Macaca mulatta: one gene and its partner. The protein of the gene in region 1 binds, or shares a complex with, the protein of each later gene. Links are inferred from orthologs where the notes say so. Each region holds a gene or a part of one and is shown on either strand. Other genes may lie near its edges.

Evidence for each region. The genes of interacting proteins can lie anywhere in the genome.
Region 2: EIF3I (region 1) and EIF3L share a complex: the UniProt entries of both Homo sapiens proteins name them as parts of the eukaryotic translation initiation factor 3 (eIF-3) complex. The link is inferred for Macaca mulatta from reciprocal best matches to the Homo sapiens genes EIF3I and EIF3L.

What each region holds. Positions count from the first base shown.
Region 1 is NC_133406.1:208,650,543-208,656,459, reverse strand, and holds the end of EIF3I (eukaryotic translation initiation factor 3 subunit I), read left to right. Parts: intron 1-1,717; coding exon 1,718-1,828; intron 1,829-1,947; coding exon 1,948-2,037; intron 2,038-2,355; coding exon 2,356-2,429; intron 2,430-2,844; exon of another isoform or gene 2,845-4,058; coding exon 4,059-4,151; exon of another isoform or gene 4,152-4,246; coding exon 4,247-4,328; 3' UTR 4,329-4,738; downstream 4,739-5,917. UniProt on the Homo sapiens protein: Component of the eukaryotic translation initiation factor 3 (eIF-3) complex, which is required for several steps in the initiation of protein synthesis.
Region 2 is NC_133415.1:13,662,143-13,668,761, reverse strand, and holds the start of EIF3L (eukaryotic translation initiation factor 3 subunit L), read left to right. Parts: upstream 1-2,423; 5' UTR 2,424-2,454; coding exon 2,455-2,487; exon of another isoform or gene 2,488-2,509; intron 2,510-3,179; exon of another isoform or gene 3,180-3,318; coding exon 3,319-3,367; intron 3,368-4,803; exon of another isoform or gene 4,804-4,835; coding exon of another isoform or gene 4,836-4,884; coding exon 4,885-5,095; intron 5,096-6,619. UniProt on the Homo sapiens protein: Component of the eukaryotic translation initiation factor 3 (eIF-3) complex, which is required for several steps in the initiation of protein synthesis.

The DNA of each region.
Region 1 (5,917 bases):
AGGCATGAGCCACCACACCTGTATTTTTTTTTTCTTTGAGACAGAGTCTCACCCTGTTGCCCAGGCTGGAGTACAGTGATACGATCTTGGCTCACTGCAACCTCTGCCTCCTGGATTCAAGCCATTCTCTTGCCTCAGCCTCTCAAGTAGCTGGGAATATAGGCACCCACCACCACGCCTGGGTAATTTTTGTATTTTTAGTAGAGATGGGGTTTCACCATGGTGGCCAGGCTGGTCTCAAACCCCTGACCTCCTGACCTCAGATGATCCACCTGCCTCAGGCACTGGTGATAGCACAGTAGTTCAGAGCAAGGGCGGAGCTGTATGCTGTGGCTCACATCTGTAATCCCAGTGCCTTTGGGGGCCAAGACAGGAGGATCTCTTGAGCCCAGGGGTTGGGGCTATAGTGAGTTGTGATCATACCACTACACTCCAGCCTGGGTGACAGTGAGACCCAGCACTTTGGGAGGTTGACCCGCCTCAACCTCTCAAAGTGCTGGGATTTTCTAATAAATTAAGAAAAAATTAATAAAAAATTTTAAAAAGAGCAGAGGTGAGATTGAAATGTAGATTTCACTACTTTTTAGCTGTGTGATCTTGGGCAAGTTACATAACTTCTCTGACCCTGTTTATCTGTAAAATGTTTCAAGGATCAAATGATATCACATGTTTGAAAAACTTGTCACAAAGTACTCAGGACATGTTAATAAGGATCACAGGCCGGGTGCGGTGACTCACACCTGGAATCCCAACACTTTGGGAGACTGGAGCAGGAGGATTGCTTGAGCCCCAGGGATTGAGATCAGCTTGGGCAATACAGGAAAACCCTATCTCTAAAAAAAAAAGAAAATTAAAAATTAGCTGGGTGTGGTGGAGCGTGCCTCTGGTCCCAGGTACTCAAGATGTTGAGGCTGAAAGATTGCTTGAGTCTGGGAGATTGAGGCTGCAGTGAGCCATGACTGTGCCACTGTACTCCAGCCTGGGTGATAGAACAAGACCCTGTCTCAAAAAAAAAAAAAAAAATTAAGGATCACAAATGAGCAGTTCCCTGCCACCAGAGTATAATGCCCTGTGCTGAGTTCCTAGAACAAAGAAGTAAATCAGACACAGTCCCTTCCCCCTTGGAAGGGACTTGCAAACAGCTAGCACCTGAGTCAGATTGTGAACTGTGCCACCGTAGAAGTCTCAACCAGGTGTGGAAGGTGCACTGTCCCAGGGAGGTGGTGTGTACATTAAACCCTGGAGAATAAATGGAGCTTCAAGCAGGAAGGAAAGAACATCCCACAGGCAAAAGGAACAGCAAAAGCAAAGGCACAGAGTTAAGAAAGTATGGAGTCTTCAGGAACCATTGGGATGCAGTCTTGGGGACAGAGGACAGGGAATAGATTTTAAACGTCCTTAAGTGTGAGGAGATAAAGAGTTTTGATTTTCCTCCAGGCAGTAGGGAATCTTGAAAGGGTTATCTATGGCCAGATTTTCCTTCCAACAGCGCTTGCAGGTTATGTTTGGAGAATGGACCTGAACTAGCCATCAGGCATAGGATGTACATTACTGGACAGAGTCAAGGGATATTTAGGGGTGACTGATTAGATAGAGGGGGTGAGGAAAACACAAAGTCCATGCTATCTCAGCTTTCTCATTTGGGTGCTTAGGTTTCTGGGGAACTGAGATTAGTAGGGATTGGGCCCAGTCAGTCTCATTCTTCCTCCTTCCCCAGTCTGGAGAGGTGTTGGTGAATGTTAAGGAGCACTCCCGGCAGATCAATGACATCCAGTTATCCAGGGACATGACCATGTTTGTGACCGCATCCAAGGACAACACAGCCAAGGTGAGCCTGGGCAGGGGTCTGGCAGGGCTGCTGCCTCCCTCCTGCTGCACAGCTCACCCTGCCCGACTTCCCCCAGGAAGGCTCTTTCTACAGATATCCCCCTTGCCTTCTCTCTCCAGCTTTTTGACTCCACAACTCTTGAACATCAGAAGACTTTCCGGACAGAACGTCCCGTCAACTCAGCTGCTCTCTCCCCCAACTATGACCATGTAAGAGAACCCCATCCAGCCTTCCTGCTAAAGCCTCAGGAAGCTTCCAAGTTCTAGATGCTTGTCCAGAAGTTGGGCTACAACATTGTGGGGGAAATGATGTCAGGCAAAGAGGAGATTCCCAGAGGAGTGACAAAGCTGGAAGGATGAATAGCCCCAGGGAAGCGGGCAGGAGGTGGCAGAAGTGTCTGATCATCCCCTACCTTTGGTATCCTCCCATTGAGCTGTGTGAGATGTGAAAAATGTATATGGCAGGAGAAAAACAGAAAATAGACTTGGTGTCCATCGGGCCCATCTAGAGTTTCTTCTTCCATTCAGGTGGTCCTGGGCGGTGGTCAGGAAGCCATGGATGTAACCACAACCTCCACCAGGATTGGCAAGTTTGAGGCCAGGTAAAGAGGAAGAGAGCTCTTCCAAATTGAAATCTCATGGGGTGCACCTTTTTTTTTTTTCCCCGAGACGGAGTCTTGCTCTGTCACCCAGACTGGAGTGCAATGGTGTGATCTCTGCCTCCTAGGTTCAGGCGATTCTCCTGCCTCTGCCTCCCGGGTAGCTGGGATTACAGGCACCCACCAACACACCTGGCTAATTTTTGTATTTTTAGAAGAGACAGGGTTTCACCATGTTGGCCAGGCTGGTCTTGAATGAACTCCTGGCCTTAAGTAATCTGCCCACCTTGGCCTCCCAAAGTGTTGGGATTACAGGCATGAGCCACTGTGCCCGGCCTTCATTATATTTCTCTATGCCCATATTTCCTCTATTGTATAATGAGACAGTGACAATATACTTACCATAAAATTATGCAGATTAAATTATTCAGTTAATATTTATTAAGCTCTTTAAGCACTGCCCAGCACGTAGTAGGCACTCTATAAGTATTAGCTATGAATTTAGGCAGACTTCTGGGTCCGGTCTTCCTCTTATAATAAAAAAGTTAAAAAATAAAGATACAGGGTCTCACTATGTTGCCCAGGCTGGCCTCGAACTCCTGGGCGCAAGTGATCCTCTGCCCTCAGCCTCCCAAAGTACTGGGATTACAGGCGTGAACCACAGCCCCCAACTTCATCTTATTTTGTTCACATTCACTTATTATCTCAATTTTTCTGCTTTATTATTATTTTTTGAGACAGGGTCTCACTCTGTTGCCTAGGCTGGAGTGCAGTGGCACCATTTCTGCTCACTGCAACCTCCTGGGCTCAAGCAATCCTCCCGCTAAGCCTCTGAGTAGCTCAGATTACAGGTGCACACCACCGTGCCTGGCTGCTTTTTGTATTTTTAGTAGAGATGTTGGCAAGGCTGGTCTCAAACTCCTGGCCTCAAGCGATCTGCCTTCCTCGGCCTCCCAATGTGCTGGGATTACAGGCATGAGCCGCCACGCCTGGCCTCAAATGCAAATTATATCACAAAAAATAAAGCAGAAGCCGAGTTCGTGACCAGCCTGGCCAACACAGTGAAACCCCATCTCTACTAAAATACAAAAATTAGCCGGGCGTCTATCATCCCAGCCACTCGGGAGGCTGAGGCAGGAGAATTGCTTGAACCCAGGAGGTGGAGGTTCCAGTGAACCGAGATTGCGCCACTGTATTCCACCCTGGGTGACAGAGTAAGACTCCATCTCAAAATAAATAAATGGGGCCGGGTGCGGTGGCTCACACCTGTAATCCCAGCACTTTGGGAGACTGAGACGGGCAGATCAGGAGAACAGGAGATCAAGACCATCCTGGCTAACACAGTGAAACCCCATCTCTACTAAAAATACAAAAAAGTTAGCCGGGCATGGTGGCAGGCACCTGTATCCCAGCTACTTAGGAGGCTGAGGTAGCAGAATGGCGTGAACCTGGGAGGCAGAGCTTGCGGTGAGCTGAGATCGCACCACTGCACTTCAGCCTGGGCGACAGAGCGAGACTCCGTCTCAAAATAAATAAATAAATAAATATAACAATTTGCATTTGGGGAGCGCCACCTTCAAAATGTTTTGGAAGGAAATGGAAAGTGAATTAATTGTGTCCCTTTTCCTCCAGGTTCTTCCATTTGGCCTTTGAAGAAGAGTTTGGAAGAGTCAAGGGTCACTTTGGACCTATCAACAGTGTTGCTTTCCATCCTGATGGCAAGAGGTAGGGTCCCAGTGAAGCAGCTGAGCTAAGCCTGGGTTGGGTCTCTGCCTCTCCTAGAGTAGGCACCTGACTGGTGCCTGGCTATCTTTTTCCAGCTACAGCAGCGGCGGTGAAGATGGTTACGTCCGTATCCATTACTTCGACCCACAGTACTTCGAATTCGAGTTTGAGGCTTGAGAAGCTGGATCTCCGGCCGGGCGTGGTGGTTCATGCCTGTAATCTCACCACTTTGGGAGGTCAAGGTGGGCGGATCACCTGAGGTCAGGAGTTTGGGACCAGCCTGACCAACATGAAGAAACCCCATCTCTACTAAAAATATAAAAATTAGCAGGGCGTGGTGGCACGCACCTATAGTCCCAGCTACTCAGGAGGCTGAGGCAGGAGAATCACTTGAACCCAGGAGGCGGAGGTTGCAGTGAGCTGAGATCGTGTCATTGCACTCCAGCCTGGGCAACAAGAGCGAAACTCCGTCTCAAAAAAATAATAATAATAATAAGCTGGATCTCTATCCGGGCCAGAGAAGATTCTCACAGAAGGTTTTGAACTCTAAGAAATAAATTGGTTTGGTAATAAATGGCTTCTGGTCAGATATTTTGTGGGGTCTGTTTTATCATCTTTCCTTTTCACTGACACCCCAGCAAGGGGATGCCGATCATGGAGACTTTTATTATTTAGACCTCCCTATACTTTGGACACCTCAAACTTAAGACCGTCCGTACTTTTGGCCAGCCTGGGTTGCAGGCATCCTCTTCCAAGGTGTAAAGGTCCTAAGGGGCCTGCAGAGGTTTCAGGAATGTCTCGGTTGCTGTCCAAGGAGCCAGTGCTTAGGGTGGGGGCTGAAGTAGTTGGCTGAGAGGCTTCTGTCTTCTCCCTTCCTGTCACTGTTTGCCACGCTCTTCCCCCATGCGGCTTCTGCAGGCTCAGGTGAGTGGGTCCAGCGAAGAAACAGGCCCGAGGAGGAGGAACACAGGTCAGGACGCTGAGCGGAGGGATAATCCCCCGTGGAGAAGGTGTGGGGCTCACCTTGCCCAGCCGCAGGCTCTGGGGCTCCACAGATGGCCAAGGGATTGAGGATGTAGAGTGGGTTCCGGAGTCTTTGTTGCTCTTTTGGCTGGCTGAGCCAAGACCACAGGGAGTGCGTCCGAGCCCTCACTTCACACGGGCATCTGCAGAAAGGCAGGGAGTAAGTTTCCAGCCCCAGGTATGCCCTCTGGGAGTCTGGGTGGGCAGCCCTGGTTAGTAGGGTGACAGCCACTTTGGAGCAGTGATAACCTCTCCTTTTCTCCTTTTTCTTGCAAACATTGCCAGTCAGATCTTGTACTGGGCACTAGAATAAAAGAGGAACAAGACAAAGTCCTACTTCTTAAGGAGTTCTATTTAAAGGGAGAAACCAATTTAGTTTTGCCTCAGTGTCAGAGAAGGCTAATTAAGAATGTGATGTTTGGCCGGGCGCGGTGGCTCAAGCCTGTAATCCCAGCACTTTGGGAGGCCGAGGCGGGCGGATCACAAGGTCAGGAGATCGAGACCACAGTGAAACCCCGTCTCTACTAAAACTACAAAAAATTAGCTGGGCGCGGTGGCGGGCGCCTGTAGTCCCAGCTACTCAGGAGGCTGAGGCAGGAGAATGGCGGGAACCCGGGAGGCGGAGCTTGCAGTGAGCCGAGATCGCGCCACTGCACTCCAGCCTGGGCAACAGCGTGAGACTCCGTCTCAAAAAAAAAAAAAAAAAAAAAAAGAATGTGATGTTTGAGCTGAGTCTCAACAGA
Region 2 (6,619 bases), on another chromosome or scaffold:
CTACAACCTCCACCTCCCGGGATCAAGCGATTCTCCTGCCCCAGCCTCCCAAATAGCTGGGATTACAGGCGCGTGCCACTAGGCCCAGCTAATTTTTGTATTTTTTTTTTTTTAGTAGAGGCGAGGTTTCACTATATTGGTCAGGCTGGTCTCAAACTCTTGACCTCGTGATCCGCCCGCCTCGGCCTCCCAAAGTGCTGGGATTACAGGCGTGAGCCACGGCGCCCAGCCACTGGTTGTTATCATTTAAACTAGAAACTGGCTGGGCGCGGTGGCTCATGCCTGTAATCCCAGCACTTTGGGAGGCTGAGATGGGTGGATCATGAGGTCAGGAGATCAAGACCATCCTGGCGAATACGGTGAAACCCCAGCTCTACTAAAAATACAAAAAAAAATTAGCCGGGCGTGGTGGCGGGTGCCTGTAGTCCCAGCTCCTTGGGAGGCTGAGGCAGGAGAATGGCCTGAACCCAGGAGGTGGAGCTTGCAGTGAGCTAAGATGTGGCCACTGCACTTCAGCCTGGACGACAAAGCCAGACTCTGTCTCAAAACAAAAAACAAACAAACAAAAAAACTAGAAACTAAATGTCTCCCAAAGTTAGCTTGGTTTGAGCCAGGAATGATTAAGGGCAGTCTGGAGATTAAATGGAAGATGAGGGTTGGTTAGATCAGATCTCTTTCACTGTCATTATTTTCTCACTGTTATAATGTTTGCAAAGGTGGTTTCCGCAATAAAAATATTTCACAAATTTTACAAAAGCAAAGGACCATGAGGACATGAGACTGGGATTCTTCCTTGGTTCAGGGAGGGTCCTGAACCAAATCGAAGGTCTGTAAAGCTTAAGCTCCATTATTTCCAAATTTGTATCACCTCTGGTGACAGCGCAAGGAAGAAACAGAAAGCAATAACGCAGCATAGGGAGTTGGGGCCGGGCATTGCAATTCTAAATAGGAGGTCGAGTGAATGGCATCAGAGCAGACACCTAAAGATGCCACGCAGATATCCAATGGGGAAGGGAATGGGAGTGGGGGCACCGCTGCATTCGATTCTAGACTTGGATAACAGTGAGTGCAAAATCCCAGAGGTGGAGTGTGCCTCAGTGGGAAAAGCGAGGAGGGCAGCGTGACAAAGGGACCCAGAGAGTCCTGGTCACACAAGAAATCAGTGGTGGAACTAAGGTCCCTCCTTGACTCATACACTGGTTTTTATTGGTTTGTTTTATAACCCCATCTCTACTTTGACGGTTTCCCCCAGACTCGAACCCGGTGTACTCAAGAGCTGCCCCTGTCCCAGGCTTCGCGACACAGCTGGCCTCGTCTTTGCCTACTCCAACTTTAATGTCCAAAGTTGGGTGGCTCCTGTTTTCCATGCCCTCTTACTGCATAGGACCAAATCTCAATTTTTTTTTTTTTTTTTAAGACTGAGTCTTGCTGTGTCGCCCAGGCTGGAGTGCAGTGGCACGATCTTGGCTCATTACAGTCTCTGCCTCTCGGGTTCCACCGATTCTCCTGCTTCAGCCTCCTGGATAGCTGGGATTACAGGCGGACGCTACCACTCTCGGCTAATTTTTGTATTTTTACTAGAGATGGGGTTTACGACATTTTGGCCAGGCTGGTCTCGAACTCCTGACCTCAGGTGATCCACCCGCCTCAGCCTCCCAAAGTGTTGAGATTACAGTCATGAGCCATCGCGCCCGGCCAAATCTCAACTTTTATCCCCAGTAAGTTTAGTCTTGTTAAGTCCGAACGTTTTAATAATTTACTCACTGCAGGCAAACCGCTTACAACTAAATCCATCAGGTCCCCGTATCCGAATCTCCCTTCACGCGAGAAGCCGGCCATCTTTTGTGTGGCATTCTTTCTGGTTTCTGTAACTTTGCCCCTCCTTTACCCCAAATACGTGTCTTTATATCTGAATCTACACTAGTATCACAGATTCACCTTCTTTGAGAAGCCTCTATTTGAAGAAAAGAAAATTCAGGCTACTTGTAACCCTCTTATTATTATTTTTAGACGGAGTTTTCGCTCCTGTTGCCCAGGCTGGAGTGCAATGGCGCGATCTCGGCTCACCGCAACCTCCGCCTCCCGGGTTCAAGCAACTCTCCTACTTCAGCCTCCCGAGTAGGTGGGATTACAGGCATGCGCCACCACGCCCGGCTAATTATGTATTTTTAGTAGAGACGGGGTTTCTCCACATTGGTCAGGCTGGTCTCGAACCCCCGACCTCAGCCTCAGGTGATCCGCCCGCCTCGACCTCCCAAAGTGCTGAGATTACAGGCGTGAGCCACCGAGCCCGGAACCTCTTCCTTCTTGATATGGCTGTCTCAGATGGCCAGCGGCCTCGGAAAGGCTTCCGGTTTCCCGGCAGGCCCTAGGGGGGCCGAACTTCCGGCCTCAGGACGCAGGCGCGGGCCGCTCGTTTCGGTCTTTCCGGCGGTGCTTGTGAGCCCGGTAGCCATGTCGTATCCTGCTGATGATTATGAGTCGGAGGTAAGGTGGCCCTAAGCGCGCGGTGAACTTCACGCCGGGGAGATCTGTGGGACCTCTGGATGTGGGTCCCGGCGCGAGGCAGCTTCTGGGCCGCGGCCAGCTCCGGCCTACCTGCCGCGCGGCCCTCAGGCTGCTCCCTCTGTTCCCGGCCCCTAGACAACCCTGGCTCTGCCCGCCCATTTCGCGTGTCCGGTTCCCTTGTCCTTCCCCTTGCTAAGACCGGAGACCAAGGCTTGTTAGACATCTCTGTGTTTCTGCACCTGAGTTATTTTGGTGTGGGCTCCGTCAGGTCAAATCTCGCTGATTCCCACAGCCTCTTGTCCTTTGCACCCGTAATGTATTGTCATTGTCTGTTTACTGTCGCTTTTCTCTAAGGCGTGTGAGTTCCTCAAAGGCAGGCACAGTGTCTTTTTTTTTTTTTTTTTTTTTTTGAGACGGAGTCTCGCTCTGTCGCCCAGGCTGGAGTGCAGTGGCCGGATCTCAGCTCACTGCAAGCTCCGCTTCCCGGGTTCACGCCATTCTCCGGCCTCAGCCTCCCGAGTAGCTGGGACTACAGGCGCCCGCCACCTCGCCCGGCTAGTTTTTTTGTATTTCTTAATAGAGACGGGGTTTCACCGTGTTAGCCAGGATGGTTTCGATCTCCTGACCTCGTGATCCGCCCGTCTCGGCCTCCCAAAGTGCTGGGATTACAGGCTTGAGCCACCGCGCCCGGCCAGGCACAGTGTCTTATCCGCCTCTGTATCCTTAGCTCTCTGCTTGGCATCTAGACTCTAGGATGAGCGTTTTGAATTCACGAGTTGGCGACTTTCCTGACTGTCTCTTTCCTTCTAGGCGGCTTATGACCCCTACGCTTATCCGAGCGACTATGATATGCACACAGGTGAGACCACGGCTTAGGCTGGCTGAGTACTCGTAGGGATCGGTTCCTTTGGAATGTCTTAGAACCAGCTCTGACAGGCACCTGTTAAAAATTGTTCTTTGGTGGTCCAGGTTTGGAGTCAGTCATTACCTGCTGGTGCGTGGGGTTGTATAAAGCCTAATAAACCAGGCTTTTTATCATAGTCCACCTCAGTCTTGGAAGAGAAGGATTACTTACCGGGCTATGGTTTTCTTGTGTAAACTATTAGCCAAAGAAGAAAACCTTTTTTTTTTTTTTTTGAGATGGAGTCTCCCTCTTTCCTCCCCGGGGCTGGAGTGTAGTGATGCGATCTCTGCTCATTGCAACCTCCGCCTCCCGGATTCAAGCAGTTCTCTTGTCTCAGCCTCCCAAGTAGCTAGGATTACAGGCACCCACCACCATTCCCGGCTAATTTTTTACTTTTTTTTTAGTAGAGACGAGATTTCGCCATGTTGTCCAGACTAGTCTCAAACTCCTGACCTCAGGTGATCCACCCGCCCCAGCCTCCCAAAGTGCTGGGATTACAGGCGTGAGCCACTGCACCTGGCCCAAAGAAGAAAATCTTGATGTGAAAAATTTAATTCAAACCAAGCCCAGATGAAATCTTTTGAGAGGTTTCCTGAAATGTTACAGTGACTGGACTTAGTAGTCAGTGTTATCCATTGTTCTAAGTACGTTGTATGCAATATTTTGTTTAATTCTTACAGCGGTTCTGTACATTACTGTTGTCTCCTAAAAAAGAGAAAATAGGCCGGGCGTGGTGGCTCACGCCTGTCATCTCAGCACTTTGGGAGGCGGAGATGAGCAGATCACGAGGTCAGGAGATCTAGACCATCCTGGCTAACACGGTGAAACCCCATCTCTACTAAAAATACAAAAAAAAAAAAAAAATTACCCGGACATGGTGGCAGACGCCTGTAGTCTCAGCTACTCAGGAGGCTGAGGCAGGAGAATGGCTTGAACCCAGGAGGCGGGAACTTGCAGTGAGCGGAGATTATGCCACTGCACTCCAGCCTGGGGGACAAAGTGAGACTGTCTTTAAAAAAAAAAAACAAAAAAAGAAGAGAAAATATAGCACAGAGATTTAATACTAACTTGCCACAAGTCATATATTTAGAAGGTGACAGTTATTCATTCAAGAAATATTAAATACCTGTTACCACTTACATTCCAACAGTCTTGCCTCTCTCCCCTCTAACTCATACTTTTCTAGGCCCTGAGGGTACATCTGAGTACAAGACAGACAAGATTCCGACTTCCTAGACTTGGGAGAAGGGTGCAAAACAGATAATAAGTGAAAAATAACTTTAAGTCGTGGTAATATTTTTGAAGAAACAGGGACAATGAGATTGGGAGTGACTTGAGATGTTTGTATCTCTGAGTGTTCAAAAGGGAATTTTACTCAGACCTGAGTTTAGTTTCTGGGGCGGTCTTGCCATTTTGTTCTATCATGTATGTGGGTTTGAAAGCACTCTGTGTTTGTTTTATCCAACCTCCAGGAGATCCAAAGCAGGACCTTGCTTATGAACGTCAGTATGAACAGCAGACCTATCAGGTGATCCCTGAGGTGATCAAAAACTTCATCCAGTATTTCCACAAAACTGTCTCAGATTTGATTGACCAGAAAGTGTATGAGCTACAGGCCAGTCGTGTCTCCAGCGATGTCATTGACCAGAAGGTGTATGAGATCCAGGACATCTATGAGAACAGGTATGGACTACTGGCTGAAAGGCCCTCTTTCTGGGTGGGACTGGCCTGGTATTACAGTTCCTACAAATGGGGCGAGCACTTTGTAAACAGTGCTTGGGGGGGTGGTCTTTGTGAGTCCTTGTGGCTAGGGACATTTTATTTTGTTAGACTTTATTTTATTTATGTGTTTGTTTATTATTTTTTGAGACGGAGTGTCATATGTTGCCCAGGCTGGAGTGCAGTGGCAAGATCTCGGCTCACTGCTACGTCTGCCTCCCGGGTTCAAGTGATTCTCCAGCCTCAGCTTCCCGAGTAGCTGGGACTACAGGCATGTGCCACCACGCCTAGCTACTTTTTTTTGTATTTTTAGTAGAGAGAGAATTTCATCATGTTGGCCAGGCTGGTGTCAAACTCCTGACCTGAAGTGATCCACCCACCTCAGCCTCCCAAAGCGCTGAGATTACAGGTGTGAGCCACCGCGCCTGGCCTAATTTTTGTACTTTTAGTAGAGACAGGGTTTCATCATGTTGGCCAGGCTGGTTTTGAACTTCTGACCTCAAGTGATGCACCCCCTTCGGCCTCCCAAAGTGCTAGGATTACAAGCGTGAGCCACCATACCCGGCCTGTTGGACTTTATATCCTCAGAAATTTGTACAAAGCCTAAAATAATATCACTATTAACAATTGTAATAATAGTGATTAGCGTTTATTTTATTTATTTATTTTTTTTGAGATGGAGTCTCGCACTGATCCCCAGGCTGGAGTGCAGTGGCTTGATCTCGGCTCACTACAAGCTCTGCCTTCCGGGTTCTCACCGTTCTCCTGCCTCAGCCTCCCGAGTAGCTAGGACTACAGGCACCTGCCACCACGTCCGGCTAATTTTTTGTATTTTTAGTAGAGATGGGGTTTCACCGTGTTAGCAAGGGTAGTCTTGATCTCCTGACCTTGTGATCCGCCCGCCTCGGCCTCCCAAAGTGTTGGTGTTACAGGCGTGAGCCACCGTGCCCGGCCGATTAGCATTTATTTTTATTACCAGGATAGATCTGTCAATGTTCAATGTGTTCTTCCTGTTTTTTTACTCATTTACCCTTCACAGTAACCCCATGAAGTAGGAGTTTTTCTCATTTTACAGATGAGGAGACAGCACAGAAATAAGTCATGTAGCTAGTTTAATGGACGTGCTGAGATTTGAACCTGCAGTGTCTGGTACCAGAGCCTAATTTCTAAACTGTGCTATGCAGCCCTTCAATGCATATCAGAGCAAGCTGAACTCTGCAGGTTTTGAGGGGCCGCCATTGTGTAATGGGCATTAGAGATAGGATAGATCAGTCGAAGCTGGGATAGTCAGGAGTGACTTCACCAAGGAAATAGAATTTAAGCAAGTCAGAAGGATGGGGGAGAGAAAGCAAATCGCCAAAGGCCTATTGGATCAATGAGTAGGATCTCTGACATATGTTTTCTTTTTTTGTTGTTTTGAAAGAGCTGATTGTAGTTGAAAAGCAAAGGAAACCTCGGACATTGCATGGTTTTAGGCTTCACCCTTGC